Tamandua tetradactyla: one gene and its partners. The protein of the gene in region 1 purifies or fractionates together with the protein of each later gene. This does not show direct contact. Links are inferred from orthologs where the notes say so. Each region holds a gene or a part of one and is shown in the gene's direction. Other genes may lie near its edges. The genes, in order: LGALS3, ECE1, SLC12A7 and SLC12A2.

Evidence for each region.
Region 2: the proteins of LGALS3 (region 1) and ECE1 purify together in Homo sapiens (affinity purification with mass spectrometry; 3 studies listed by BioGRID and IntAct, counting the BioPlex papers as one, with this or other methods). This does not show direct contact. The link is inferred for Tamandua tetradactyla from reciprocal best matches to the Homo sapiens genes LGALS3 and ECE1.
Region 3: the proteins of LGALS3 (region 1) and SLC12A7 purify together in Homo sapiens (affinity purification with mass spectrometry; 3 studies listed by BioGRID and IntAct, counting the BioPlex papers as one, with this or other methods). This does not show direct contact. The link is inferred for Tamandua tetradactyla from reciprocal best matches to the Homo sapiens genes LGALS3 and SLC12A7.
Region 4: the proteins of LGALS3 (region 1) and SLC12A2 purify together in Homo sapiens (affinity purification with mass spectrometry; 3 studies listed by BioGRID and IntAct, counting the BioPlex papers as one, with this or other methods). This does not show direct contact. The link is inferred for Tamandua tetradactyla from reciprocal best matches to the Homo sapiens genes LGALS3 and SLC12A2.

The regions. Positions count from the first base shown.
Region 1 is NC_135338.1:10,966,070-10,973,501, reverse strand, and holds the start of LGALS3 (galectin-3), read left to right. Parts: upstream 1-4,424; 5' UTR 4,425-4,524; intron 4,525-7,432. UniProt on the Homo sapiens protein: Galactose-specific lectin which binds IgE. May mediate with the alpha-3, beta-1 integrin the stimulation by CSPG4 of endothelial cells migration.
Region 2 is NC_135328.1:205,056,963-205,063,892, forward strand, and holds the start of ECE1 (endothelin-converting enzyme 1), read left to right. Parts: upstream 1-3,913; 5' UTR 3,914-3,976; coding exon 3,977-4,030; exon of another isoform or gene 4,031-4,047; intron 4,048-4,280; coding exon 4,281-4,367; intron 4,368-6,930. UniProt on the Homo sapiens protein: Converts big endothelin-1 to endothelin-1.
Region 3 is NC_135335.1:49,362,055-49,369,057, reverse strand, and holds the start of SLC12A7 (solute carrier family 12 member 7), read left to right. Parts: upstream 1-3,996; 5' UTR 3,997-4,020; coding exon 4,021-4,159; intron 4,160-7,003. UniProt on the Homo sapiens protein: Mediates electroneutral potassium-chloride cotransport when activated by cell swelling. May mediate K(+) uptake into Deiters' cells in the cochlea and contribute to K(+) recycling in the inner ear.
Region 4 is NC_135346.1:6,464,495-6,471,521, forward strand, and holds the start of SLC12A2 (solute carrier family 12 member 2), read left to right. Parts: upstream 1-4,017; 5' UTR 4,018-4,032; coding exon 4,033-4,752; intron 4,753-7,027. UniProt on the Homo sapiens protein: Cation-chloride cotransporter which mediates the electroneutral transport of chloride, potassium and/or sodium ions across the membrane. Plays a vital role in the regulation of ionic balance and cell volume.

The DNA.
Region 1 (7,432 bases):
GAAAAGTATACATAGAATAATTTGAATTTACTATGCAAGATATATTAAGAAGTTGGCTGATAATGGAGTTGCTTTGAGACTAGTTCTATTTATCCAAAAAAAAAAAAAGCAGTCAATTTTTAGTCAGTTCTATGAATTGAATTCTTTACTCTTTTAGTTTTTTATCATCTTAAGGGGCATCAGAGGAAAGGGGTTGAAAACGATAAAATCTTACCCACTGTTGGTGGGAATGTCAAGTGGTACAACCACTGTGGAAGGCAGTTTGGCGGTTCCTCAGGAAGCTAAGTATAGAATTGCCATATGATCTGGCAATACCATTGCTAGATATCTACTCAGAGGACATGAGAGCAAGGACACAAATGGACATTTGTACACCAATGTTTATAGCAGCGTTATTTACAATTGCCAAGAGATGGAAACAGCCCAAATGTCCATTAACAGACGAGTGGCTAAACGAGCTGCGGGTATATACATACGATGGAATATTATGCAGCTGTAAGACAGAATAAAGCTATGAGGTATGGATCTTGAGGACATTATGCTGAGTGAGATTAGCCAGAAACAAAAGGACAAATACTGTATAGTCTCACTGATATGAACGAACATCAGTGAATGAACTTAGAGAATTTCAGTTAAGAACAGAGACCATCAGGAGATAGAAATAGGGTAGATTTGGGGTAATTGGAACCAAAGGGATACAGATTGTGCAATGGGACTGATTGTAAAAATTCAGAAATGGACAGCACAATACTACCTAACTGTAATACAATGTTAGAACACTGAATGAAGCTGAATGTGAGAATGATAGAGGGAGGAGGGCTGGGGGCACAAACGAAATCAGAAGGAAAGACAGACGATAAAGACTGAGATGGTATAATCTAGGGGTGCCTAGAGTGTATAACGATAGTGACTAAACGTACGAATTTAAAAATGTTTCTGCATGAGGAAGAACAAAGGAACGTCAATATTTCAGGGTGTTGAAAATAGATGGTAATTAATATTTTAAAACTTTAACTTATGTGTGAGACTAAAGCAAAAAATGTTTATTTGGTATGAAATTTATATTTTGACTAGTGCATCTCCTAATATGACTTTTGTGGACAGTTTAACTGAATGCTACAAGCACATGGAAACTTGAGTAGGGCATGAGATTTTGTAGGTTCGTCCAGAGTGATGTCCTGATAAACCCGAGTGATTTGAACAGTGAATAAAAAAGTATTTGCAAAGTCCCCTTGGGGGAATGGTGAGAAAGGGGGAAAATTCAACTTCCCCAAGTGGAGAATTCTTGATATTCTCACAAGCAGTGGGCACAACTGAAGCAAAAAAAAAAGGAAAAAAAAAACACAATAACATCAAACAGTCCACTGGATTTTTCTCCAGTGCTCACAAACTTGTTCACTTAGCAAATATTTGTTGAGTGGCACTTGGGAACATCAGTGAACAATGTAACAAAGTACTGTGCCCTCAGGGAGGGGTGCAGGAAGGAAAAGCAGGGAGAAATCAAGGATAACAAACACACATAGTAAATAAGTAAATTCTAGAGCTGATAAGGGCTGTGGAAAGAAAGAAAAATTAGAGGGGGTAAGAGGGGTTGGCAGTGGGAGGTGGTGGATTTGATTCTACATAGGGGGGGCAAGAGGACACCTCATGGAGAAGGTGACATTTGAGTAAAGGCTTAAAGTAGGTGACAGAGTGAGTAGATGACAGGAGGAGAGTATTCCAGCTATAGGGAACAGCCAGGGCAAGGATGCAAAGTCAGGAGTGCCACAGGAACAGCTTTTGGGGGCAGGAGTGGCTGGGGTGGGCTGAGCAAGTGGGAGGTAAGAGGAAGAAAGGTCAGAGTGAAATTCCAAATTAAAATGCTCACTTCTTTAATTTTTCCTTAGTAGCAATACAGCTTTATATATGACCTTATTCTTTGTCCCCTGACATTATAAGGTCCCAGGTAGCCAGTATCATGAGGCCACTCACATTGCCTAATATAATCCAACTTCATAGTTGCAGCCCATTGTCAATCATCCATTTTGCAAACAATCATTTACCCTCTTTTTTAGAGTAGCAAGCTACTGCTATTTTTTATAAAATGTAATTCAGGCTCTTCATTAATCTCTATCCCTCAATCACATTGTTTCAGTGAGATTATATCACTATCACGTTCCCATTTTCGATTTTTTATTTACTGAGTGCCCAAAACATAGACCACGTGTATTGTGTCACAAAATTCGATCACAAACACCAGTGGGCCAGTTCCAGCCAGGTCTCATTTGTCCTGCTTGAGGTTACGGGCTTCCCATAACACTTCGGTTCTTCTAAGAGCAGGGCTGTTCTTCCTCAGCAGGCCCCCTCTCCTGAGGACCCGTCAGCCGGGCAGCTCCAGCCTGCTGCAGCATCTGCCTGTGTCTGCTCTCCCCGCCCCGTGGGAGAATGCTAATGCCTATCCCATGGGGCTGTCTCTGGAAGTCTGCAGTGACAGCACTGCCCTGGGGTGGGAGTTAGCCTCCCTTCGGGGGACTGTACTCTGTCACCTGGGCCTTGATGCGGGCGTCTCTCAAAGCTTTCCAGATCCATCAACTTCTGGCCTACTCCCACTGCCTGGGGCTCCAACCAAACGAGCAAAAGAGGCTAGGCTGAGAGCGGGTGCAGACATTCCTTCTCTAGACTTGACTCCATTCTCTAGTACCAAAATCCTTTCCTCTAGCCCCAAATCTAAAAACTCCCAGGTGTATCCACTCAAGCAGTACGGAGGCTCTCTCACACATGCTATCAACCAGACACAGGATCCCAGTTTCAGAGAGGAGACTCTACTACTGAACTGAAATATCACACAGAAAGCACTAGAGATAAAGGGGTAGAAAGAGTAATTCTTCTTCATTCCCTCAGAGATCATTTTACCTTGTGGGCAGCCATTCTTTACATTTCTGAATGACCCTTCCAAGCTCCTTTTAAATCTACAACTTTCTGTGGCCTGGTGGTGATGGCATTTTGTTTGTTTTTGCTTCAGCTGGTTGAGCAGTGAATATTCAACACCTTATTTCTTAGACCCTGACACACTTTCAACTTGATCGATGTTATGATCACGGTCATATCTACTTTTCTGTGCCTCTGTTTTCTCACCTGTAAAATGGGGACAAAAATAACACCCATCTCATATAGGTATGTAAAGTACTGCACATAGTTCAAGAGACATAACTGCTCAATTAATATAGTTGTTTTAATTATTATCTGAATTAAAACAAACAGACAAACCTTGGACATACCTAACCATTTTACTCAGTTATTACCCAGTGAAGTGTTTGCAACCAAATATCACCTCCCTTCAGCAAGTACCATTATTTGCTGTAGCAACCTTTCCTACATTTGTAATTTTGTCCTTTCCCACCGTAACCAAAGGTAATTTTTGCATTTGCTCATTGTCCCATTCTCCAATCTGTGAGAAAACAGACATTCTGACTTCCTAAGATGTCATTCATTCTTTATTTCTTTTCTTCATTCATTAAACAAATATTCACCGGGATCCTACTACGTGCGAAACCTAGGGGCAGACGCTGAGGATACAGGGCTTACAAAGAGCAGAACGACCCCGCGTGTCCCCACATCACAGGTTTGCTGGACCCAGGCCAGGAAGGCGAATGAACACCTTCAAAGGGGAAGAATGTGGACACGTCTCCCTCAGCGGCTCAGAAAACTTTCTGACAGAACCTCCTGGTCACACTCAAATCAGTGTGATATTTTACGTACAGGAAATCCGTTTATTTGTATATAAAACATAATTACTTAAGAAATTTTTACGAAATTCCACATTTCTTACCCATTTACTCGTATAACCCACGTCAGCTTCACACAGACTCAGGACATATTTGAATCAGGAGCTCAGAATATCAAGTACGAACTCGGAAACTACTTCCTCAAAAAAAAAAAAAAAAAAAATCAAGCGTATAGGATGCAAAGTCAGGATAACTTTATGGAAGAGGTTTGTGGTTTTTGTTTGCTAAAATGCCTTTCTTTTTTTCCAGGGTGCAATTCTTGGGACGACTTTGATGCTGAGAGAGAGTTAAAGGTAAAGCAAAATGAGGGCGGGATGCGACTGCCTGGGATTCGGGCAGGAAATAACCGAACAAGGTAAAACAAGCAAGCGGGCCGCACGCAAAATCCCCCAGCGACCCAAACGCCCAAAACTTCGCAAACTTTCCCCGCGGGCCGTCGGCGTCCGCGGCGGAGTCCGACGAGCGCGCGGGCCATGCGGCCACGCCCAGTATCCCGGGACCGCCGGGGACGGACCCCGGGCCGCGGGCGTCGCCCTTCGTGGGGGCGGAGCCTCTGGCCCGTCGTCCCCGGCCGAGCGCCCCCCGGAGCGGCGCGCGCGGGGCGGACACCCGGGGGCGGGGCGGGGGTGGGGAACCCTGCGGCCGTCACGCCCCGGGAGAGGCGGGGCGGGGTGGGCGTATTTGAGGCGCGGAGCCGCCGTCGGGCCGGGAGCGCCCCGGGAGCGAGCGGGAGAGCCACGTAGCGGAGGCCGAGGCGAGGGTGAGCGGCGGGGCCGCGCGGGAGGGAGCGCGGGGGCGCGGGCGCCGCTCGGGGCGTGGCGGTTCTCGGGAGGGCTCGGCCGAAGCCGGGGAGGGAGGTTGGCTGCGCTCTGCGGGCGCCGTCCCGGGGCGGGGCGCGGAGCCTCGGACGTTCGAGGGGCCCGAGACGGGGCCCGAGACCGGGCCCAGGTAGCCACGACCGACGGAACTTCGCGCTCAGGGCGAGCGGGCGAGGCGGCGGCCGCTGGGCGAGCCGGGCGCCGGCCGCTTTCTGGGCGCTCGGAGGACGCACCCCGGCCGCACCCGGGCCCCACCCTCCCGCTGCCTCCGCCGTCTGTGGTTTATGGACGTGGAGTCTCTCGGAACCCGAGTTGGGCCACTTCCGAAACGGCTTGGTGCAAATGCAAGCAAGCGTGCTGCGGCGGGACCCCCGCATCCGACCAAGCAGCCCCCTCTCTTCCGGTATTAGAAACCAGGCGTAGGGCGGCTTTTGGGACCTGTGATCCCGCTGCCCGGGCCACTTTTATCTCTACAAGGAGATCTTGGTGAGGGCAGGAAAGAGTTCTAACAGGCCCAACAGTCCCGAGACAGGGGTTGCGGCCAGCTTTCTGAATGTGGATTCCACGGAAAAGGGTGCTGCCCTCCCCACCCCACCCCCAGGCGTCCGGAGCATGCGTCGCTTTTGCAAAGTCTGCACACCCTAAACTGTTAAGTGACTCATCCCTGCCCAGTTTGGCTACTTTGGGCCATAAAAGCTCATATCTGTGCTAGGGATGTGTCAGGAGCGGCAGAATTGTGCAGAGCCTCAGCTGGGGGGTTTTAAAACGTGTTTGAGGATATATTCTGAATTATCAGCTTATCAAACAGAAGTAAAAATGCGGCCACTGGCGGTTGGGTGCTAGATGCTAGAGAGACAGGCACCTATCGGTGGACTTGGGTCCCCCAGCCCTTCAGAGCCAGCCATTCCTATTTCAGATACTGTGGAATATTTGTAAAATGGGTCGTGGACAGTGAGGTCAGCTGGACTTCGGTGACCCAGTCTCCTTCTGGGATTCTGGGAAAAGAAGGGCAGGCAGGCTTTTTTAATTCTGAAGAAAATGAGAGAGAGAAAATGAACTACTTGGGTGCAGTGCATCAGAGAAAAATCCCACCATCTTCCAAAATTTTGATTTGTATGCCTCATGTTTAGAAAGTTTTCTAGGAAAAGTATTTGTTCCCATAAAAGTTAAAGTTTAATAATAAAAATTTATTTTCCCACGAAAAATGGTCTCCTTTTTAGCCTTTGACTTTGAATTTTTGGAATGGGACTTTCATTTCTTTGATGGTCCTGCCTCATCCTTGATCTTTTGGAGATTCGAGCTGGTTCCTAAATTCATGTTTTGATGGTTTAGAAGCAGCGCTTCTTCCATATCCTGGGAGAAAATTTGATGATGGTGCATGAATGTTTAGGGTTTAGAAGTGTTAGGAGGTTGCCTCATGAAGTAAAATAAGTAGCAGAAAAGGGGGCATTCTGCCCTGCCTGGTGGATTGACCCTCAAAGCTAGTCGTTTTCAAGTAGAATGGGAAGCCTCGCTCTACTGAGACTTGACTTCCTATCAAGAAGAAATGACTTCCTATCATTTAATCATTGATAGTTCGCAGTGCTACGGATACACATAGGAGCTTCAGGCAGACTTCTGATCTATTGCTAAGGATGTCAAGAGGGCCAATCTCATCTGTAATTTAGATCCTGTTTGCCTAGAACCTTCATGAACCAGACGCTGAGTTTCCACTGCGACAGAGACCTATCATCAGAGAGTATAACTTGAGTACCCTGTGCCGGCTTTAAGTATTAGTAAGCTTGTGAACTGATGGACCTGCAAACTCGTGGTAATTGAATAACTAACTCATGAGTTCTATTGAGCTCTGTGTGTGTAGTGCCTGAAGTGGTTCTTCTCATTAAATTCTGAGTAGGTAACAGAAGAGCCTTCCAGGGCAGTGCTTGCTGTATACTTCCAATTGCGTTGGACTAAGTATCATGTTCTCTCTTGACTACTGTTCAGCTTTTCCATAAGGGAAAAAGAACCAGTAACTGAGAAGCACAAAGTAATTTTGCCTCCCTTGCTCCTGAGGAACTAGCATGAGAAAGAAATCCCAGGAAAGGATGGGTCTCCTTCACCCCGCTTAACATGGGTTGTGGAAAGTGGACTTTCCCCCAGCTCCGCTGAGTGTTTCAGGAAGTAGACCCCCCCTTTGTGTTCCTTAGGGAGGAAAGTGGTGCAGGGTTCTGGGGTTCTGAGGTAATACATTCATCATCTACTTCCATTAACATTTCTGTAACGGTCAGGGCCCCTCGAGCAAAAATTTCAGAACTGTGCCTGATAACCCAGATGAGTGGGTCCATTGCTAGGGTGGCCTAGAATTGCATGGTACGGTAAGCTACTCGATGTTAAAGGGAAGAGCTACCAGCTACCAGCCAATGAAAATGATCTACATTTCGGCACCTGTTTAAGTTCCTCATTCTAAAGCTACACTGAATTACTGTAAGTTTTCCAAATATGGAGACCCAGGTAGGATTTCCCATTTTGGGGGTGCCTTGTCTTTCGTGCAGTGTTTCTTTTCTGGTTCTTCAAAATTCTCTGATTCTGGGAAGGCCAGAATGGAGTTTTCATATCTCTGGAGCAGGGAGATTTTTTCTTTTACATTTAATTGGCCTTCTCTCTGTAAACTGCTTCATCTGGGGGGAAAAAAGTGTAGCTAGAAATTTTTCAGGCAGCTAGATGCTAATTTTAAAATAGATGTCTTAAAAAAAATGTTCTGAGGTTGTCCAGCTTGATTTCAAAAGAGCATTGTTACAACTCTTTTCAAAAAAAGAGATCTGATGGTAGAGGTTGACATAACCCAAACAGCGTGTTCCCAGTTTTTGGAAC
Region 2 (6,930 bases), on another chromosome or scaffold:
CTCTGTCAGCTGAAAAAGAAAAGCACCCCATCTCAGCTGTCTTCTCCTTGGCAGGACAGCCCAGCCGTCAGCCCCTGGGATGGGTTTCCAGCCTCCCTCCCTTGCCTCCCACCCTCACTCAAACAGCCCTGGAAGCCCCAGCCTCAGACCAGGCCCAATCTGACCCAGCCTCTGTGCTGGGGGTGGGGTGGGGGTGGGAGAGGGATTGTGTGGGAACACAGAGAAGGGGACTGAACCCTGGCAAAGGGGGAGAGGGTGGTCAGGATTGCTTCCCAGCAGGGTGACCCCTGAAATGAGATGGGAAGAGGGGGAGACCCTGCTTAAGTGCATCTCGGCAGGTCACATCCCTGAGCCTCACTTTGGTTCTCTGTAAAAGAAGCCTGCTCAGGGCCAGGTTTGCAGGGGCTGCACCTTCTCAGCCAAGGGGCCTCCGAGGGCAGGGGGAGGCTTAGATTGGGTGACGGGTGTGCAGGAACTAGCAAACACCTCGCACCCACCAGGTGCCCTGAAAATAGGAGCGGTTATGCTTGGCTGGAGAGATGTTTGGTGAATCAGGTTTCTTTTTCAAGGGCTTTTTTCATCAGGTGATTGGCCCCCTTGCCTGACACTTCATGTATCTTCCCCTCGCAAGGATGCAAAAGTTGAGGCTCAGAGAAATTTGCCATTTGTCCAAGGCACACAGCATTTCAGCTAGGCTGCTGCAATCAGAACCAGGCCTGCCTGCCTCCTCAGCCCCTACTCCTCTGGAGACCCGGGCCCTCCTCAGACAGTGGGGGCCACCTAAGGCCCCTGCCCTGAGGGAGTGTCTGGCCAAGCCTGCTGGGGGCCAGGTTCGCAGGGGCCACACCTTCTCAACCGAGGGGCCCTGGGGCCCTGCTCTCTGCCTTCCCCCGCCTCCCCTTCCTGGGGCCTTTAGCACTCCCACCCTGGGCTCCATTCCCTGCTCGGTTTCCTCCTTGTTTCCAGGTAGGGCTTCAGTCTCCATTTCAGGTGGAGGCCTCAGGTAGCACCTTTGCCCTGCAGACTCTGGGCAGTGGGGAGGTTATGGGATGGAAGTGCAGGACTTAAGGGATTCTCAAGGACTTGGGGAGACCCTCTGGGCCGGTCTATGCAGGGAAGCCAGTGGAGGGCCATGGTGATGGGGAGAACTCTCTGGTGAATTGGGGCCGTGTTTGCAGCTCATTGAGACCATACCAAGGGGCAGATACTGTGCAGTGTTCTCTTCACACCATTTTGTTTTATAGCAAAAGAACTTTACCCCCACAGAAGCCCAGATAGAAATTACTCTGAGGTACCTCTGCCAACCTCCAGAGCTGCATAGAACCTAGTCTGAAAACGGCTGTTACTATGGGGAAAGAAATGGGCTGGAACTAGGAGAAATGGTACTGAGTTCCCATTCTGCCACTAATTTGCTGTATGACTTTAGGGATATCCCTACCCCTCTCAGAGAATTAGCTACCACCTCCTCTCAATCCCATGTAAAAAGAGGAGGTTGGATTATTCAATTGCGGTATCCCAACCACATCTGATATTCTTAGATTCTGACTCCAGGTGGATTTTTTTTTTCTCATCAGAATAATCCAGGCTGTCAATCTATAAAGAGATGCTTTATTTGACAGTCTAGACAGAAAGACTTGCCTTAAAGCTTCCTGTCACTGGGGGTGTGTAATCACAGTTGGGGGTCCATTTAGTTAATAATGCCACAGGAAACTGTCATTTGTTGAGTGCTTACTATGTGTCAGGCTTTGAGCTATATACTTTACATACTTCAACTCACCTGTCCTCCCAAAAATGCTGTAATGCAGTTTTACTATGGCCCTATTTTAGATGTGAAAACACAGAGGCTCATAGGGGTTAAGTTTGCACAGCATGAAAAGGATGGTATGGGATTCAAACCCAGGTGCGCCTGGCTCCAAAGCCCTCTCCCTTCATTGTACAGTGCACGTCCCCAGTTTCTGGGTCCAGGTTGAATATCTCAGGGGTGAGATTGTATTCCCAAACCGTGACCTGAGCCTAAGTGTCCTGGTTTCAGAAAACTCAACTGTAACCCAACGTTAAGTGAAGAAGCCTTGGAGTCCTTTCTCTTTCTTTGGTGGGTAATGGGAACTCTTCATACAGTGGGAGTGAGGTCCAAGATTTCAGAATAAAATTCTTCCCTGACACCCTGCCTCCCCCAGGGCTTCCAGGGCATGTGCTCCTGAGATGTGTTTCCTCTTCCTTGGACGTGTAAGGATTGAAAGGCAATGCCCCAGAGTAATTTTCACTTCCCTTCCATTTCCTCCATTCATTTTAACAATTGTTTATTGAGCACGTAATCTGGTTCTGCTGCCTGGGATTCTCTGTTGGACATGACAGACAAGGTCCCAGCCCTCATAAAGCGGACGTTGTGGGAAGATGGAGAGAGATGGATAATAAAAAACTCAAAACAAACAAAAATAAGTCTACAATAAATGCTAAAAAGGGTTTTTTTTTAAGTGCTGTAATAGAGAATTTGGGAAGTTACTTAGATAAGGTGGTCAGCACATTCGAGGAAGTGACATTTAAGCTAAGATGTGAAGCAGGAGCCAGCCATGGGAGGAGCAGAGATGAGGAAAGAATGTTCCAGATAGAGGGAACGGCAGGTCTAAAGGTCTTGGGGGATGGAGAAACTTGAAAAATTTGAGAAATTGTCTGAAGACTAAAAAAGTGAGGCCTGAGTGAGGTGTAGAAGACAAGATGAGGGGCAGAGGTGGACAGGGACTGGACAGTGGAGGGGTTTTAAGCAAAGGAGTGGCGAGATCTGAATTTCATTTTTAAAGGCTCAAAGGCTGCTAAGTTGGGCTGTCCAAACGGGGGAGAGTAGAGGCTGAGAGATGGGTCAGAAGCCACTGTTGTCACTGTCGATGTGACCTTGGGCAGACACCTCACCTCTCTTAGCCTTTTTCCTCACACATTTGTGTGATCGTGAGAATCAATTCTGGGAATGAACAGAAGCGCACTTGGGAAAGGCAAAAAGTGTGCATAAGTTCAGGGGATTCCAAGTCTCAGTAAAAGCAAATTTCTTCAGGAAATTGTTCTGGATTGGAGCTTTCCTGGGTCTGGGGTGGAAAGGAGAGTGCCTGGAGGCCCTACCTGAGCATCTGACATCTGAGAAAGCCCAATTCCTCCCTAGGGTCACAGGGGCTCCTGAGCCGGGCAGGACATCTGCTGGAGGAGGGAAGGGGGGAGGGAAGGGACGCTTCCTGGTTTCTGACTTACCCCGTAGCAGTGGTTCTTAGTGTTTTGGGGGAGGGTCACACCCTTGAACTTGGAGGCAAGCATTGGATGACCCCACCCAGGTGCAGACACACAGCATTTTCGTTGTGTCCAGGGAGTTCTCTGGGACTTCCTAAACTTCTTCATAAGCTCTGGCTTAAAGATCCCTGAGCCAGAGGAAGGAAGAAATGAATGGAGGGAACACCTTTCTTTTTTATTGCACCTTTTCCCCCGCCCCCACCCCCTTCTAATCTTTCTGGCTCAGATTGGCGGCGGGGGGGGGGGGGGGGGGGGGCGCCCCCCCCCCCCCCCCCCCCCAGGGCTGATGGTGAGGGAAACCTCTTGCTGGACGGTTCTGACTCTGGTGGGTGGGTACCTTCCTAATACTTCTGATCTGCCATTGGGGTCTTCTCCTAGTGAAGAATTCAGAGTTTCTTAGAGCGATCGCAGCGAGGCCCCTTCCTGGCTGCTGGGGGCTGGCCGTGGGGACTCCTCTGCTGACCTCAAGGGAGGACAGCGGTCCCTCACTCCCCGGGAACTCTCGGGCCGCGGGGGTCTCCCGGGAGCCCAGGGTGGGACCCCCGCGCCGCGCGCCCAGCAGACCCCGCCCGCGGAGGCGGCTCAATGCCAGGCCCGCCCCGCCCCGGCCCGGCCCGGCCCGGCCCGCCCGGCGCGCGGCGGTGGCGGTGGCGGTGGCTGCGGCGGCGGCGGCGAGTGCAACTCTGGCGCCACGGGGCTCAGCATGCGGGGCGTGTGGCCCCAACACCCGGTGGCCACCGCGCTGTCGGCGCTGGGGGTGAGGCCCCGCGTTGCGTAAGCGCGGAGGGGGCGGCGATGGGGGGGCGGAGGGGGACGGCGATGGGGGGGCGGAGGGGGCGGGGACACCCCCTTCCCTGCCGCGGGCCGGTCCGTGGGCCGGTCTCGGGTGTCCGGGCCGGGCCGGGGCGGGGCGCGGCGCGGTGGTGGCGGCGCCGGGGCCGCGTCCCCATTCGGGTACGAGAGCCATGGAGGCGCTGAGGGAGTCCGTGCTGCACTTGGCCTTGCAGATGTCGACCTATAAGCGGGCCACGCTGGACGAGGAGGACCTGGTGGACTCGCTTTCTGAAGGCGACGTGTACCCCAACGGACTCCAGGTAGGCGTCCTCTCCCTCTGCCGCCCCCCCCCCCCATCCCGGGGCTCCAGGTGCCCTAGGCCTGGGCATGTGTCCTGGCACTGCCCTCCCTCCACTCCCGCCCTGTCCTGCCACCCGGAAGGGGGGCGTTCCAGCCTGGGCAAGAATCCTTCCCGGGTGAGAGGGTCTCTGAGGTGTTGCCCCCGCCTCCCGCCAGCCTCCCCTAACCAGCTGACAAATCCTCTGGAGCCCCTGCTTCTGCTGCTAGCCCAGGTAGCAGAGTTGGAACACAGTCAGACCTGAACTGGTCCAGTTCCCTTTGCACAGAGGAGGCAGCCCCAGCCTGGCCCAGGGACTCATCAGTGAGTTTTCTCACTGAAAGTCCTGCATCCTGGGGAACCCCTCAGTTTCTGACAAACCATGATAGTTGGTCACCCTATATGGTTGGCATTACCTCATTCTTCTTTATCCCCAAATACCTGAATTTCCAGTGTGTGGGGGCACCCAGCCCATCCTCTGTTCTCTCTGTCCCTCCCCCTTTTCAGCTTACCTGAGAAGCCCAATTCCTCCCTTCCCCAGGGTCTGCCCCCTGAAATCTGAGAGAACTGTCGCTTCCTGGTGGGGCTGCCAGGAGCATTCCTGGCGAGGGCCTCCACCTGGTGGGGTTTGAATCCAGGGGGGTGGGCCACGGCGAGTTGGATATGTGGAGACACCCAGGATCCTTAGTGGGGCTCTTGAGAAACCAGTGTAGACAGGAGGCTTCTGCCAGGTTGGGAAGGGAGACACAGAGGAGACGTATTAGCCCCCCCCCCCCCCGCCCCCAGTGAACTCACATCAAATCACAGCTCATCTTGAGGGCAGGTTTAGTGGGTGTAAAGTTAGGGGGCAGGTCTAGTCCTACTCAAGTACGCCTCTTAGAAGCCGGAGTGATAATGCGAATAAAGGGAAATAGCACTGATTGAGTCCCTCCTCCAGATTAGTTGAATAGGCCCATGGAGATCTGAACTCAGGAGCCCAAGTGCTCTATCCACTGGGTATGGAAGCTTTATCCCCAGAAACTGTAGGGATTACTTTTCCTACTTACAGATATGGAAATTGAAGCTCTGAGACGGGAAATGTCTTGCCTTCGGTCAAGGCAAGAGCTAGAAAATCGTGAGCAAAAAATCAGACCTAGGTCTGTCTAGGACTCTTCCCTGTGGACCCTTCTTAAGAGGCTAAATCCAGCAGGAAATTAGATGCCTGTCACATGCAATTTCCCCTCACAAGTCAAAACAGAATCGAATCAGCAATCTTTTTCAGTCTCATCTTTCACAGAAGGTTCTAAATATATCAACACAAAAGCATTTTGGAATTCGCAACAAAATAATATGCTGTGTTGTCACTACGGCAGCAGCCCACATGGGTTTAGCCTTTTGCAGATCACGGAGTACCTCCCATGCATGTGGGGCTGCTTAGTGCAGGGGAAGGAGCCCAGTCTCTGAAGCCAGGAGTCTGGGTCTGCACTCTTGACTTCACTCATGACCTTGGTCAAGACGCCTAATCTCTGTAAGCCATAATTTTCTCATTTGTAAAATGCGAGCTAGAGAAAGTGCATGGAAAGCACACAGCATTGGGCCTGCTAGGGTCATTGTTACTGTTTTTGTGCCCAGTGAGGTAAAATTTGCTGCCCCCATCTTCTGTGTCAGAGAAGGGGACCTTCTGGTGGGCACACAGATACCGTGTGGGTTGGAGTTCACTGTGGGTCCTTCTGCACCAAGTGGCAGAACTGGGCACATCTTCAGCTTTTCATGCAGGGAAAGCCAGAAAAGTTGGCTCAGGGATTTGGGACCTTTCCATGGTACCCAGCCTAGCCTGCCCTGACCCTCTGTGACTTCCCCAGAGCAAACTTGAACTAACCAGTGCTTGCTCTTGACCACAGTCAAGAACCCATCCACCTCACCTGGCAAAGCAGAGCTTTTTAGTAGCCTTATGTTTTTAAGAATTAGACTTTTTTGTTCTCAATGTAAAAGCTTTACCTGCTTATTTATGGATAATATATATAAAAAAGGATTTTTTTTTATAAAGCAGTAATCCCACCACTCAGTGATAGCCTTTTTAGCATTTTTGGTATAGTCTGGTGTTTCACACATGCATATATTTTTTTTAGTGTAGTTGAGCTCCCTTAATACACTCTAGTACATGATGCTGTATCCTTTTTTCACCTAGCACCACTTCATAAACATTTTTTTATGTTAAAAACTTACGAAATATGCTGCCATTAAAAATCACCTAAAGAAGAGAATGATTATAAAAAAAAATCACCTAAAGAAAAACACCTAAATAAACTCTTAAACAAAGTCATTATACCTCGTGGTGTCAATATGTAAAAAGGCATTTATTTACTCAGTCCACTGTAGTTGGACATTTAGGTGCAATTGTTCTAATACTTGGGTGACCATCTGAGCTTTTCAGATGGCTCCTTGCAGATTGGTGCTGGAAACACAACTGCAACTCTTAAATTAGACTTTGAAAATTTGGCAGCACACCCCAAATCTCTCTCTCTTGACAGGCAGCCATGAAACTAAGCTATTTGATTTTTCAAGAT
Region 3 (7,003 bases), on another chromosome or scaffold:
GACTGCACATGCGCACACACACACTGACATATGCATGCACACACACTCATACACTGCACATGCACACACACTTGCACACTGACTGCATGCACACACACTCATATGCTGCACATGCACACACACTCGCACACTGCACATGCACACACTCGCACACTGACCTGTGCATGCACACACTCATACACTGACTGTGCATGCACACACACTCGCACACTGCACGTGCACACACACTCGCACACTGACTGCACATGGACACACACTTGCACACTGACTGCGCAGGCACACACACACACTGGCTGTGCATGCACACACACTCGCACACTGACTGCGCATGCACACACACTCACACACTGACTGCATGCCCACACATTCATACACTGCACATGCACACACACTTGCACACTGACTGCACATGCACACACACTTGCACACTGACTGTGCAGGCACACACACTCACACACTGTGCATGCACACACACTGTGCATGCGCACATACACTGCGCATGCACACATACACACTGACTGTGCAGGCACACACACACTCCATTTTCTGCGGCTCCTTGTAACTCTAGAGTTACTGTTGACCACAGGATAGAATTCCAAACCCCACATAGGCCCAGCCCCATCCCAGCCACAGGACCCCAAGGGCAAGGCAGCTTTCCAGCTGTCTTACAGCGGAGCGATAGACAACCAAACTTGCCCTCCCAGCCGCGCCTCCTCACTGGGCAACCTGCATGGAGGCTGGGTGCCCCCAAGCCATCCCATCACTGGCTTGGGGCACCTCAGGGACTCTCAGGCCCCTCACATCTGATCAGGGCACTCTAGAGGGGCTGTGCGGGGCCAGGTCCATTCCCCGTTTCCCACTCCACCCAGCCCTGGGGGTCCTGCCTTTCCCCTGGTCCCAGGCTCCAAGGCTCAGGGCCACAGGCAGGGATGTGTGGCAGTGGGCAGCACCTCCACCTGCTGGGAACCCACATCCTGGATGTGACCAATGGACAGCAGAGGACAGCAGAGCTCCATGGCCTGGTTCCATTCACAGAGCCCTGGAGATCTCGGGGACCCCAGGCTGATGGGAGGGGCACACACGTCCTCCTGGTGGCTTTCTGACCACTGACCTCTGGCCACCAGCTGTCTTGCTTTTCTGCCTGAGCTGACTTGGCAAGAGCCCTCTCCCCCGTGGGGTCTTCCCAGGGTGTGGTGGGCACAGGACTTGCTGAGGATGTGGTGGGGGACAGAGAGAGTTTGCCACAGCCCAGAAGCCCCAAATCCATACCAGAACCTGTTGTTGGTCTTCCCGTTCTAGCAGCCTCCTGCCCCCCTTACTCCCACCTCCTTGTCCCCCGGCAGCAGCTCCTGCCTTCCCGACCATGGGGTCCGAGCCGGTGCAGACCAGGGGCTGCAGGCAGTCTGAGACCCCCGCTCACAGGAGGCTGGGCAGGGGTGGGGGTGGGGGCAAGGAGCCTTTCCCTTTCCTTGTTCTTGTCCTGCTGACTTGAAGCAGATCACCAGCAAACCTGGGGGCGTAGCTGCTGCTGCCTCGCTCGGGGTCCCCAGGGGCTGTGGACAGATGAGGGCTGGGGGCTGGGTGGGCTGGAGGCACTGCTGTCACCCTGGGGCAGTAGGTGGACCCCTCGGCCTGGAGCTTGGCCCCTGCGGACCCTCTGCCCTCCTCTTCCCCGCCAAGACCCCACCAGCGTCTGGGGGCACGGGGAGCACTGATGGGCACATGGAGAAGCCGACCCTCTACACCTGCTGAGACGTAGCCCCCCCAGCTGGCGGTGCTGGGACCCCAGCCCACCCAGGGGCTGGGCACTGAGGACGGAGCTGCAGCTCGGCCCCCTCTACCACACTGCACGGGAATATGGGCTGGGGGGGCTGGGGGGTCAGGGCTGCACGTGGGTCCCAGAGGCCATTGGACTTCCCCCAAGGAAGCCAGGGGTGGTGGGAGGCTGCAGGGATGGGGGACGGGGGTGCTGGGAAGGGAGGGCTAGAAACCCCAGAAAGGACGTCGAGGGGAGGTGGAAGATGGGGCCTCAGAAAGGGACCCCAGGCTGCTTGGGTGTCCATGCAGAGGGAGCGTCTGTGTCTGCACATCTGTGTGTCCGTGTGTCCATGTGCCCCCACTTGTGTGCACACACCTGGTGCTGAGGCACGAGGTAGGGACCCAGGTGTCTGCCCCATTCCCGGTGAGCTGGGGGACCGCTGGCTCCAAACCCCGTCCCCACAGGGTGCTGCACCATCCTCCACCATCCTGGTGCCCCCCTCCCACCTTAACATCCTCGTCCAAAGCTGACCTCATCCCTAGAGCTCCTCTTTCTGGAGTCCGAGCACTACTGGGAGGCTGCGGCCACCTCGTAAGAGCCACCAGGGACTTTCCCACCTGCAGGGTAAGTCCAGGACTTGGCCCAGCTCACAGGGCCCGGCCCAGCCTGGCCCACCTCCCCCTGGCCTCCCCATGGGGTGTACGAATCCCACACTTTCCCAGGGCATCTTGCTCTCCATCCTCTGCTGCTGGACCCAACAGGCCCTGGCCAGCGGTGCCTGTACCTGAGCCAGCGGGCTCCCTCTGATCTCCACTGTCTATAACAGGACAGTCTCCCATGGGCCAGGTGTTCCTCTCTGCACCTCAGTCTGTCTACCTCCTCCCACCTGTCATCCCATCATCCACCCATCCATCCATCTGTATGCCCATCTTTCTGTTCATCCACCCATCTGTCTATTCATTCATCACTCTGACTAACCTTATGTCAACTGTCCATCCGTCCATCCATCCACCTGTACATCCAGCTGTCCATCTACCCATCTGCATGTCCCTCTGTCTACCCACCCATCTGTCCATCCATCCTTCTGTGTGTTCTTCCATTTGTCCATATACCCATCTATCCATCCAACCATTCATATACCCATCCATTCATTCATCCATCCATCTGTCCATCCATCCATCTGCCCATCTTCATTTATCCATCTGAACATTCATCCATCCATCTGTCCATCCATCCATCCATCTGCACATCCACCACTGGTCCATTAGGCCATCCAAGAATCTTTACATACATACATACATCTGTCCATCCATCCATCCATTCCTGACTGCCCATTTTCCCATGCATCAATTATCAGTCCGTCTGTCTGTCTGACGGTTCACTTGTTGAACGCTCTGCGCTGCGTGCCTAAAATGTGTCAGGCACTGTGGGTGGACAGCTGGATTAGACTCAAGGGGCTCTTGACAAACAGAGACTGGAGCAAGTGCAGGAGCTGGGAATAGCGTCCCCAGTGGAGACGACAGCAGGGCCCAAGGCCGGGGCAGGGAGAGGCGGACCCTACTGGCCCCACTCATGCCTGAACTGGACATGGGGCTTTGCCTTGCATGCCCACAGAGCTTGAAACAAGTCTGGGAGTGGGCCTGGGGTCACCCGGAGAGAGCCACGTGTCCTCACCCTGGCTGTTGGCTTTCACTTGGGATGGGAGAAGGCAGGGGAGGTGAAGAAATGGAGAGACCCAGAGTGGCCCCACAAGCTCCCTCCTCTCTGTATCCACAGTACTGTAGGGTGTGTGCGGGGCCCCTACACGTTTATGGTGAGCACGCTTCATGGCTGCGGACACGGGCGGTGCTGCCACAGTCCTCGGGCTCCTCCGTGAGCCCGCCTCTTCCTGCGCCCTGCCACTGCCTGTCGATGCTCTTGTCTCTCCCTGGACTTTGATTCCCCAGCCAGGGCCGGAGGGCCAGGGGGACGGGGCTTCCAGCGCGGCTCCCGGGCACACGCCTGCGGGGTGCGGAGCCAGTGAGCGCGCCGGGCGCCCCGTCGGGTCTGGCCCTTTCCGCGGCGCCCGGCCGGGCAGCCCCACGCCGCCCCCTCCGCCGCAAGTCCCCTGTCTCCCGGGCGCCCCGCCCCGCCCCCAGGCGCCCCGCCCACGCCGGCCCTGCCCGCCCCTGCCCCGCCCCCGGCGCCCGTCGCACCCGCCCCGCTCCGCATCCCGCAGCCATCTCGGCGCCCAGGGACGCGGAGGCCGCTCTCGGGCCACCATGTCCCAGCGCTTCGTGGTGACCCCCGCGGCGGGCGGGGCAGGGGACCAGAGGCCCGAGGCCGAAGGCAGCGCTCTGGAGCCGCCGCGGGTGGACGCGCTGCCCATCCTGCGCTACTGCCGCGAGCCGAGCCGCTATGGTAGGTGCCGCCGGGCCGCCCGGCCTCGTGGGACGCGCGGCCGGCGGGCGGACACGTCGCGGGCGCTTCGGGCCCGGCCGGGCGCCAAACCCTCGGGGCTGCGGCTCCTTGCAGGGCGGGAGTGTGGCGGGTGGGTGGTGGCGCTGGCACGGGTCAGCGCGGGCACCAGGCCCTCCCAGCTGAGCCGAGCCCTGCCCGCGGCGCGCGCCTCTCACCTCGGCTGCCCCTCTCACGTCGGCCGCCCGATGACTCTCAAGCGGTCCTGCTTCGCGGTGGGGACCCGCGGTGTCCCGGAGATCGGCCGGTGACAGCTCCTGGCTGCTCTGATCTCCGCTCAGGACCAAGTCCTCGTGGAAGTGGGGAGGCAAGAGACAGGGACAGGGGCAGGGACGCGTGCTGTGTCCTCTGTGTGAGGCGACCACCTGGGGGCCCGAAGGGGCAGCATGGGTGATTTTATAACTTCACACCCTCTGCTTGGCGCTGCTGCACAGCCACTTCCTATAACCCAGAATCGTCCACCCCTGTCCCCAGCTGCCCCTGGCCTCTGAGATGCCCAGCCTCAGCCTGGGCCCGTGACCTGTGGGTGCGTCCAGCTGTGCAGCTGCTGTTCTCACTGCCGGGCTCTGAAGGCAAGGGCTCTGCACAGCCCTGGGGTGGGGGACACCAGTAGGGGCGTCCCTAAGGCACGGGGTCCCAGGGAATGACCATCTGAGGAGATCCTTCCCCATCTCAACCCCAGGGCTTTCGGCCAGCGGGCAACCGCGGGAGTCCCCCTCCAGGGCCTCTGTGTCCACGCAGTCAGCTGGGTGGGCGGCTGTCCAGGCCTCTGCTGTGGCCTGCCCAAGGGAGTGTGCACACTGTGTGCATGTGTCTCGTGGGGGGGGCCCTTGGGGACGGTGCACCCTAACCCCAAAAGTGCAGGCAGAAATGTGAGATACTTTCCAGGACTTTGTGCTGAAAGCCACAATGATTTCTTTATCATGGGATGAAGTCAGACGGCTCTGCATGTGGGCATGTGTGTGTGTGAATCTGTGTGTACAGGCACGTGTGCATGTGTGAGAATCTCTGTGTGTGCATATGTGAATGTGTGTACATGCATATGTACGAGTTTCTGTGTACATGTGTGTGCATGTGTGAGAATCTCCGCATGCACATGTATGTGAGTATATGTATGTGCGTATGTATGTGTGTGAATCTGTGTGTGTGCATGCGCATGGTGTGGATGCTCCTTCTTTGGGACTGCAGCCGTGGGTGCCGATATGTCACGGCTCTGGGGTGAGTGTGTGTGCATGTACGGGTACCTGTGTGTGTGCACATGGATGACGGTGTGGCTGACGCCCTGTCTTCAGGGTCATACAGATCGTACACCCAGGTGTGAACTTGAGCCCTTAGTTGGGGGTCCCAGGTTTTGCAGGTCCTGCAGGTCCTTGCCCTGCTCTGGAGGAAACAGCTTTGATGAAGGGAGCCCTGAGGGTCTTCGGGGAGGGACTGGAAGGGGCAGCCCTGAGATGCTGGGTCCCGGCTGCCCCTGCCCAGGCCCTGACCCTGGCTGTCTGCGATCTCCCCGGGCACCGCCCCCCGCGCGTAGCTAAGCTGCTGGGCCCAGGTGGACGTGCCCCTCCTCACCCCTCCTGTGACCCACATGTCTCTAGCTGGGGATGATGCCTGGTGGGTACCTTCCATGGTGCGGGCAACTGTCTCCCAGCAGGGCCCGGTGGTGGGGGGCTGGGTCACACTGATCCCCAGGCTCTTCCAGGGCCCCTGTTGCCCGCTCACCCTCGGTGCCCACGCATGGGCCCGCTCCACCATGGCGGCTGGAGGGGGGGCGTGGGCGCAGCGTGGGTGGCCCTACCCACCAGGCCTGTTTCCTTTGGCCTCAGTTCGTGGGCCTTGGCTGCCCTGGGGCACGGTGGGCAGCATCTGCCCAGGACGCTCACTCGTGTTTCCATCTGGCCTCGGCGCCTTCTGGCTGAGCCTGCAGGATGCTCAGTGCAGCGCCCGCAGTGCCCATTTCCTCCAGGATCGGGAAGTGTCAGCTTCCTTGATGCATTGGCGTTTGCTTCACATTGAGGATTTAACAACCAGGGAGTGAGCAGGGTGTAACCCCTGCCACCCCTGGGCGCGGGGTTGGGAGTGGGAGTAACCGGTCACCCACCTCCCAGGCTGTTGCTGTCCTGCTGGCCTGCTGCCAGCCCCAGTCCCCAGCAAGGGCTGGGCCGTCCACATGTGGGCAGGGTGGAGGGAGGGTGCAGGAGGTGGCTGCCTGTGAGGGGTGAAGAGGTAACCCCAAGCACAGGGGAGGTTACCCCGTCGGAGGGCAGGGCAGGAGCTGGGGGCAGACTTGAGCTTGTCCCCTGGAGCGTGGGAGTTGACCCAGCCCTCTGGAGTGCCCTTTCTGAGGGCCCCAGTAGGGCCCAGAAGTGCAGAGGCTGCCTGGGCTGAGTTAGGAGAGGGGGCCATCAGCCTCTGATGCCCGACTGCTCAGACCTCAGCATCAGAACAGAGAGGCCACACTGAGCTCCCAGGGGACATGTGTCTGCATATTCCAGGAGTAGCTGTCTCTCTGAGTGACAATAATCCCATGGCTACCATGATCCATGGCCATCATGGCCCACGGCCACCACTATGACCCACAGCCGAGACTCATGGCTACCACAACCCAGATACTGTGACCTATGGTCACCACCATGACTCATGGCCACCACCATGACCCATGGTCACCATGACCTATGGCCCACAGCCACTGTGACCCATGACCCATGGCCATCGTGACCCACAGCCACTATGAGCCATGGTTACCACCATGACCTCTGGCCTCCTTGTGGCCAAACAACACACGACAAC
Region 4 (7,027 bases), on another chromosome or scaffold:
TCATCTCCAAAGGTCACCGGCTGTTGGACTCGCTGCTTCTCGTGGCTATGTTGTTCTGCTCTCTCTGAATCTCCCATTCTCCAAAATGTTTACTCTTTTGTAGAACTCCAATAAACCAATCAAGACCCATCCAAATGGGTGGAGACATGTTGTCATCTAATCCAGTTTAACAACCACTCTTGATTAAAACACATCATTCAGGGAAATGTTCTGATTACAGTTTCAAACATACAGTACTGAATAGGGACTACTCCACCTTTACGAAATGGGATTTTGATCAAAACATGGCTTTTCTAGGGGGCATATGTGGTAGTTAGGTTCCGTTGTTAACTTGGCCAGGTGAACGTACTCTGTTTGTTGCTACGGACATGAGCCAATGGTACTCTGTTTGTTGCTGCGGACATGAGCCAATGGTACGTGAACCTCATCTGTTGCTCATTACACCTGCAGTCGGTTAGGAGGCGTGCCTGCTGCAATGAATAACGTTTGACTTAATTGGCTGGTACTTAAATGTGAGAGCACAGCCCATGCAGCTGGGCATTCCTCATCTCAGCACTTGCAGCTCAGCCCAGGCCTTTGGAGATGCAGAAAGAAGTCACCCAGGGGAAAGTTGTTGGAACCCAGGGGCCTGGAGAGAAGGCCAGCAGAGACCATCCTGTGCCTTCCCACATAAGGAAGAACCTCAGTGGAAAGTTAGCTGCCTTTCCTCTGAAGAACTAACAAAATAAATCCCCTTTTATTAAAAGCCAATCCGTGTCTGGTGTGTTGCATTCCGGCAGCTAGCAAACTAGAACAGCATACTTCCTTTCAAACAGGACAGTGACCTTAACCAAAATTTTCACTTGTAAAATGTGAGCAAAACTATGATTTTCTTCATAGAATTGCCATGAGGATAAAATAGGATTATGAATGTAAAAAGTTTAGGGCAGTATTTAGGACTTAACTGTTCAATAAATGTTAGCTGCTATTATTATCATCTCATGCCCAGATTACTGAAACCGTGCTGTCTTCCCAGGCTTACTCTTGCTCTTCTCCAAGCTTCTGTCCTCAGTATCAGAGAGGTCTTTAAAAAATGAAGATCTGACGATGTTCCAGCTCCTGAAAACCATCAATGGTCTCATATGACTTTCAGAATAAGAGTTTCATTTCTTACCATTCTTGACCTTTATCTCTATGCTTTATCCAACTGTCTTCAAGTTCCTTAGAGAGGCTACTTGGTACAATTTGGTCCTAATCGTCCTTCAGACCTTGGCTGAAACATCACTACCTCTCTGACTAGGTCACGCTCCTTCTATTTTGTATTCTCATTGCATCATGTCCCTTTTGCTCCTAGAACTTTTCAATTTGCAATTACATATTTATTATTACTATACATTCATTTGTATATTTCCTCCAACAGGCAACTTAAACTGAACTGATATCCCCCTAACCAAACCTGCTTTGTTCAGCATCTCCTCCATCTCAGAAGATAGCAATACCATTCTTGCAATTGCTCAAGTGAAAACCCTTGGATTCTCCTCCTTCTTTCATAATCTACAACTATCAGCAAAACCCTATTGCTTTCCCAGAACTCAACCACTATTCTCCATTTCCACTGCTATCACTGTGTTCCAAGCCACATAACTTCTTCCCAGATTATTATAACAGCTCCTAATATATCTCCTAGTTACTTTCTTTGGCCACATTATTCAACTCTTTTATTCTATCCCCAACAAGGCGGCTAGATTGATCCTTTAAATATCTGTCAGATCATGTCACTCTTCTAGTGAAACCCTCCAATGATTTGCCATCCCATTCACGATAAAAATGAAGTCCTTCCAATAACGAATGAGGTCCTATACCCACATTACAAACATTTAATGCCCCCAAACTCTTTGACCTAATCTCTTCTGATTCTCCCCATCTCTTAAGCAACTTCAGTCACACTAAAATGCACACTGCAATTCCATGAATCTGTCAGGAATTCAGGGCCCTTTGGGCTTTTGTTTTCCCTGCTTGAGAGGCTCTTTTCCCAAATATTCACATCACTGACGTCTTCACTCAAATGTCATCATCTCATTGTCGGCTTCCTTGGCCATCTTACCTAAAATTTAAAACTTTCGCCCACACACCACATATCTCATTCCCCTTCCCTTAGCACCCCCCCCCCACATGCAATATGCTTCAGATATATTTATCTTGTTTGTTGTCTCTCTCTAAGCTCCATAAGGAAAAGGACTGTTGGTTTTACTCACACTGTATCCCCAGAACAAAGCACAGCCCATGGGATGAACCCGTTCAGTTAAATGCATGTTGGGTTCCACAGCCACCGCATTGGTTGTGGAGCTGGAAGGCGCCTCACAGCCCAGCTCCTAAGGCTGCAATCTCCATCCTCTGCTAACGTTACTAAGATTCAAGAAGCGGTTTTTAAAATATTGACTACCTGACCCAAGAACTGTTTCTTCCTTTCTCCATCTTTAAAGCGGAAATAAGAAAACGAGTTGAAAAGTTGTCAAGGTCAAATATGATACGGATTTGCCTATTTAAAAAAAATTACCTGGTTATGGCGTTTTAAAAAAAATGCAAACTAGAGGCTCTCTGATCATGCAAGCATGATGTAAAGGATGATGTTTCCCTCCTAAATAATAAAAAAAAGTAGATGAATGAAAGACAAATGACTGAATACTGCCACTCATGGCTGTTTTTTCTTTTCTTTTTCTTTTTTTTTAACTGAAAGGCTTGAATAGAATTTGGAATAAAAATAATTACGCAGAGAAAAAGTTAAAAAACTTATTTTTCCCTACATTTTTACTGAAGAAAAACAGACCTTCCAAGCATAGGCATCCCTTTGTTTCTATGGAAACAGAGTTGTTCACAACCTACCCCAAGCCGGGCCTCGCTGCGCGCGCCGCCGTCGGGGCCGCCAGGCCTTTCCCGAAGAGCGTCGGGTTAAAACCGCCCCGAAGCCCCAAGACATCACGACGCAGCCCTGGAACCCTAAGACATCACCACGCAGCCCCCTTCTGACCTTCAAACGTCACGGCTAAAATAAAGATGCCGTCGGAAGGGCGGGCACGGGAAGGACTCTGCTTCTGCAAGCCTCCCTGACTGATGGGGCGCGGCGGCGCGGAGGACCCGCCTCCCCTCCGCCGGGGGCGCACCTCAGCCCCCGCCCCCGGAAGTGCCTCAGCACCGACCGAAAGCCCCGGCATCCCCCGCCGCGCGGGAGGCGGCCGGGCGCCGGCTCTGCCCTGGGTACCACGCGCCGGCGGGGACGCGGCCCGTCCGCTCGGTAGCATATCGCGAGATTTCGCCGACTCCGCCGAGCACTGCGAGTTCAGAAATCAAAAAAAAAAAAAAAAAAAAAAGCGAGAGCCCGGGAGCGGCCGCTGCGCTGGCGGCGCCCGGGAGCATCCGCGGCAGCGCCAGGCGGGGCGGCGCGCCGTTCGCCGCCCGAGCGAGGAGCCGTCCGGAGCGCCGAGGCCCGCAGCGCCGGCTCACTTGCGCGCGCCTCCCCGAGCGCGTGGAGAGGAAGCGGGCCGGGGACCCGCGCCTTTTCCCGCAGCGCGGGGCGGGGTGAGGAGGCCGGCGGGGAGGCGGCGGCGCGGAGATCGTCCCGGCGGCCGCGGCGAGGCCGCGCGTGCCACGTGATCCCGGTTCGTCTCCGGCGGGCCGCCTTCACGCGCGGCTGCGTGGGAGCCGCGGGGGGCCCGGAGCCGCGGGGCTCTCGCTGTCGCCGCCGCCGCCGCCGCCGCCGCCGCCGCAGGCTCGCGGGTGGGCGGGCTCAGGGGCGGGGCGCAGCGGGCCCCGCCTCCCGCGTGCTGCCGCCGGAGCCGCGACCGCCGCGGCCGCGCCGAGGCTTTAAACCGCGGGGCCGGCCCCGCGCTTGCTGCACTCGCGCGCTGACTCGGCTGCCGGCTGCGTCCGAGCGGTCGGGGCGGCGGCGGGCGGGCGGGCGAGCGGCTCCCTCACCCGGCGTCTGAGGGGGCGGCCACCGCGGGCCGGGGCGCGGAGGGCGCGCATTCCGCGCGGTCCGCCGGGTGCCGGGCGAAGATGGAGCCTGGACCCACGGCGCCCTCCTTCGGCGCCCCACGGCGGGCCGGGGAGACGCCGCCGGCCGCCGCGCTGTCCGCTGCCGGCGTGGACCTGCCCGGCACGGCCTCGGTGCCGGAGGATGCTGCGGCCGCGAGCCGGGGCGGCGGGGAAGCTCGCGGTGAGGGGGCCGCGGCGGCCGGGGATGGGCTGGGCAGACCCCTGGGACCCACCCCGAGCCAGAGCCGTTTCCAGGTGGACCTGGTTTCCGAGAACGCCGGGCGGGCCGCGGCAGCGGCGGCGGCGGCGGCCGGGGCGGGGGGCGGCAGGGAGACCCCGGCGGACGGGAAGGCCAGGGGCGAGAGCGTGCCGGCCAAGGGCAGCGAGGAGGCCAAGGGCCGCTTCCGCGTGAACTTCGTGGACCCCGCCGCGTCCTCGTCGGCTGAGGAGAGCCTCTCGGACGCGGCGGGGGTCGGCGGCGACGGGCCCAACGTGAGCTTCCAGAACGGCGGGGACACGGTGCTGAGCGAGGGCAGCAGCCTGCACTCGGGCGGCGGCGGCAGCGGCCACCAGCAGCATTACTACTATGACACCCACACCAACACCTACTACCTGCGCACCTTTGGCCACAACACCATGGACGCCGTGCCCAGGATCGACCACTACCGGCACACGGCCGCGCAGCTCGGGGAGAAGTTGCTCCGGCCCAGCCTGGCGGAGCTCCACGACGAGCTGGAAAAGGTGAGCGCCCGGCCCTCGCCCTGCAGCCCTCCCGCCCCGGCCACGGTCTGCGCCGGCCGGCCCTGCCCGGGTGCGGTGGCCGGAATGTGCGAGCGCGACCCGCTGGCACCGCTGGATTCAGCTGTCAGGGTGGACTTGCCGGTCGCAGCGTGTTAGGCTAGTCGTGTGATGCTGGCAGGACTGCGTGTACAGCCGTCCCATCCGCTTATTTGTGTGTTGGGTGCTTTTTAAATTAACCACCTGGTTAGCAAAACCCAGCCTGTCTCGATGACAACTCTGTCTGCAGGCCATGGGAAGGGACTGTGCGGGAGGTTTAGGTGAGGACGCCCTTGCAGACTGGAGCGCCCCTGCTCGCTGCGCCCTTTTTAAGGATTGCACTGGATGGCTTGGGTATACCCATTAGGGAATCCTAAGAGTGGTTGGTGTTTGAAGCCTAACGGGGTATGTTTGTGGTTATGAGTTCTTAAAGCTCATACTTGCAAACTTGGATATGCAAAGGATCATGGAGATCTCAAAGCTTAGAGCATGCTGTACCTGTTGATGGCATAAATGCATTTTATTTCTAAGGTAAACCTTTGGGAGAGGTTATCTAAAAAATAAAATTGGGGCTGGGAGGCAGAACCTTTAAATAATTTCGTTTTCTGTAGAGGATGTCCAGAAAGCAGTAAGCCCTCCAGTGGTCTTTGCATAAGCACTTGCACTTTGTGAACAGGAAACCATCCCCATAAACTCTACTGAGTTCTGTAATTTTTTTTTTAATGGCTACGTAAGCCTTATTTCTTCAGGTTTAGAATTGTTATTTTTGAGATAACATGCTTTTGAGATTCGATTAATGTTTAACTTTTATGACTTGGGATTACATTAAGTCTGTCTTTGCAAGTGTATAATGACTCCATTGATGGGATTGTGTGAATGCAAGGAGTTGGTACTGCATAGTTTGAAATCATCAGAGTATGGGAAAGTTTAAATACAGAATGTATGTGATTTCTTTTGGATGCGATTATTTGGGCTCATACATATATTTCGTACAAGGCAGCATTTGTCCCAAGGTTTAATAATGTAGCATTCATACAGTTTGAAAGAATTACAAAGGTCTGGACCCTTACAGCCTATTGATTGTTTAAAAGCCTGACATCATTTAGCTTTAGATAATACTCTTGTTATTCCATTGTGGCATCTTGTCATATTAGGAGCAAAAACTAATTTTAAACACTTTGCTTTTGTTTGTACTCCTGTACTGTAGTTTCTCTTCAGTCTCTTTGTAGGTAGATTGTACAGAGTCCTCAAATCTTTGTAGACTAAAGTAGATATGGAACTGATAATTTTCCTTTTCATAAGCACTTTTACAGTTGGAAGTATTATACAGATGTATTTCAGGCTTATTTCACTAAAGCAAGGTAGTTTAGCTGTAAAGCAATTCATTTAACCATAAGTTTCAGAAAGACTTTGAATTGAACGGTATTATTTACCTTGAAATTCTATGCTTCCTAGGGAAGTTTTGGTTATTTTAAATTAAATTCTCTCAGTAGCAAAGCATTTCAGTGATCCTGAACTTTAAGATCACTAAATGATCTTTGATGGATTTTTTGTTTTTTTTTTTTCTGTTAAAAAACAGAACACCTGTATTAGCTGTGTGATACTGAAGAAGCTTAGGTCTAACCTCTGAGTCTTAGCTTCCTCAACATTAAAGGTCATTGTAAAGATGAGAGAAAATAAAGGCCTAAGCACAGTGCTTGGGAAATACTGATTAGTGTAGTTATTGTTTTACCCTTGTATTTGTCCTTTGGAAAATACAGAGTTAAATTCTAGGATTTCAATTTAAGGTCGTTTCGAGTCCTATTTACTTAGATTAGTGTTGTGTATAAAATGTTATTTTCAGATTGTCATTGCTTCAACAGGTAGTCAAATGAATTCTTTGCTAATTTTTTTTTTCACCTTCCACTGCTGAGATCCTTTATTGCGATGAAAAAGATGTATTAGGTTAATTAAGTGTAGACTCATATACTAAAGATATTTGTGTGTAGAATTTTAAGGGAATTGGTTAAAGAAACACGTATGATCTTAAGTAGTATAGGAACAATCATGGCTGAATCATGGCCATGGAGATATACCTGTGCTGAAAGGGAGCAGGACAGCGGTGATAGGACCAGTTGGCGAGACCCCCAAAGTTATTCTTCATCCTGTCTAGATTGACTAATGATGTCCCCTTAGTACTTTCTCTAATGTTTCTTGTCCTTGATGAATCATATTATTTAGAATTTCTATACCATTTAAT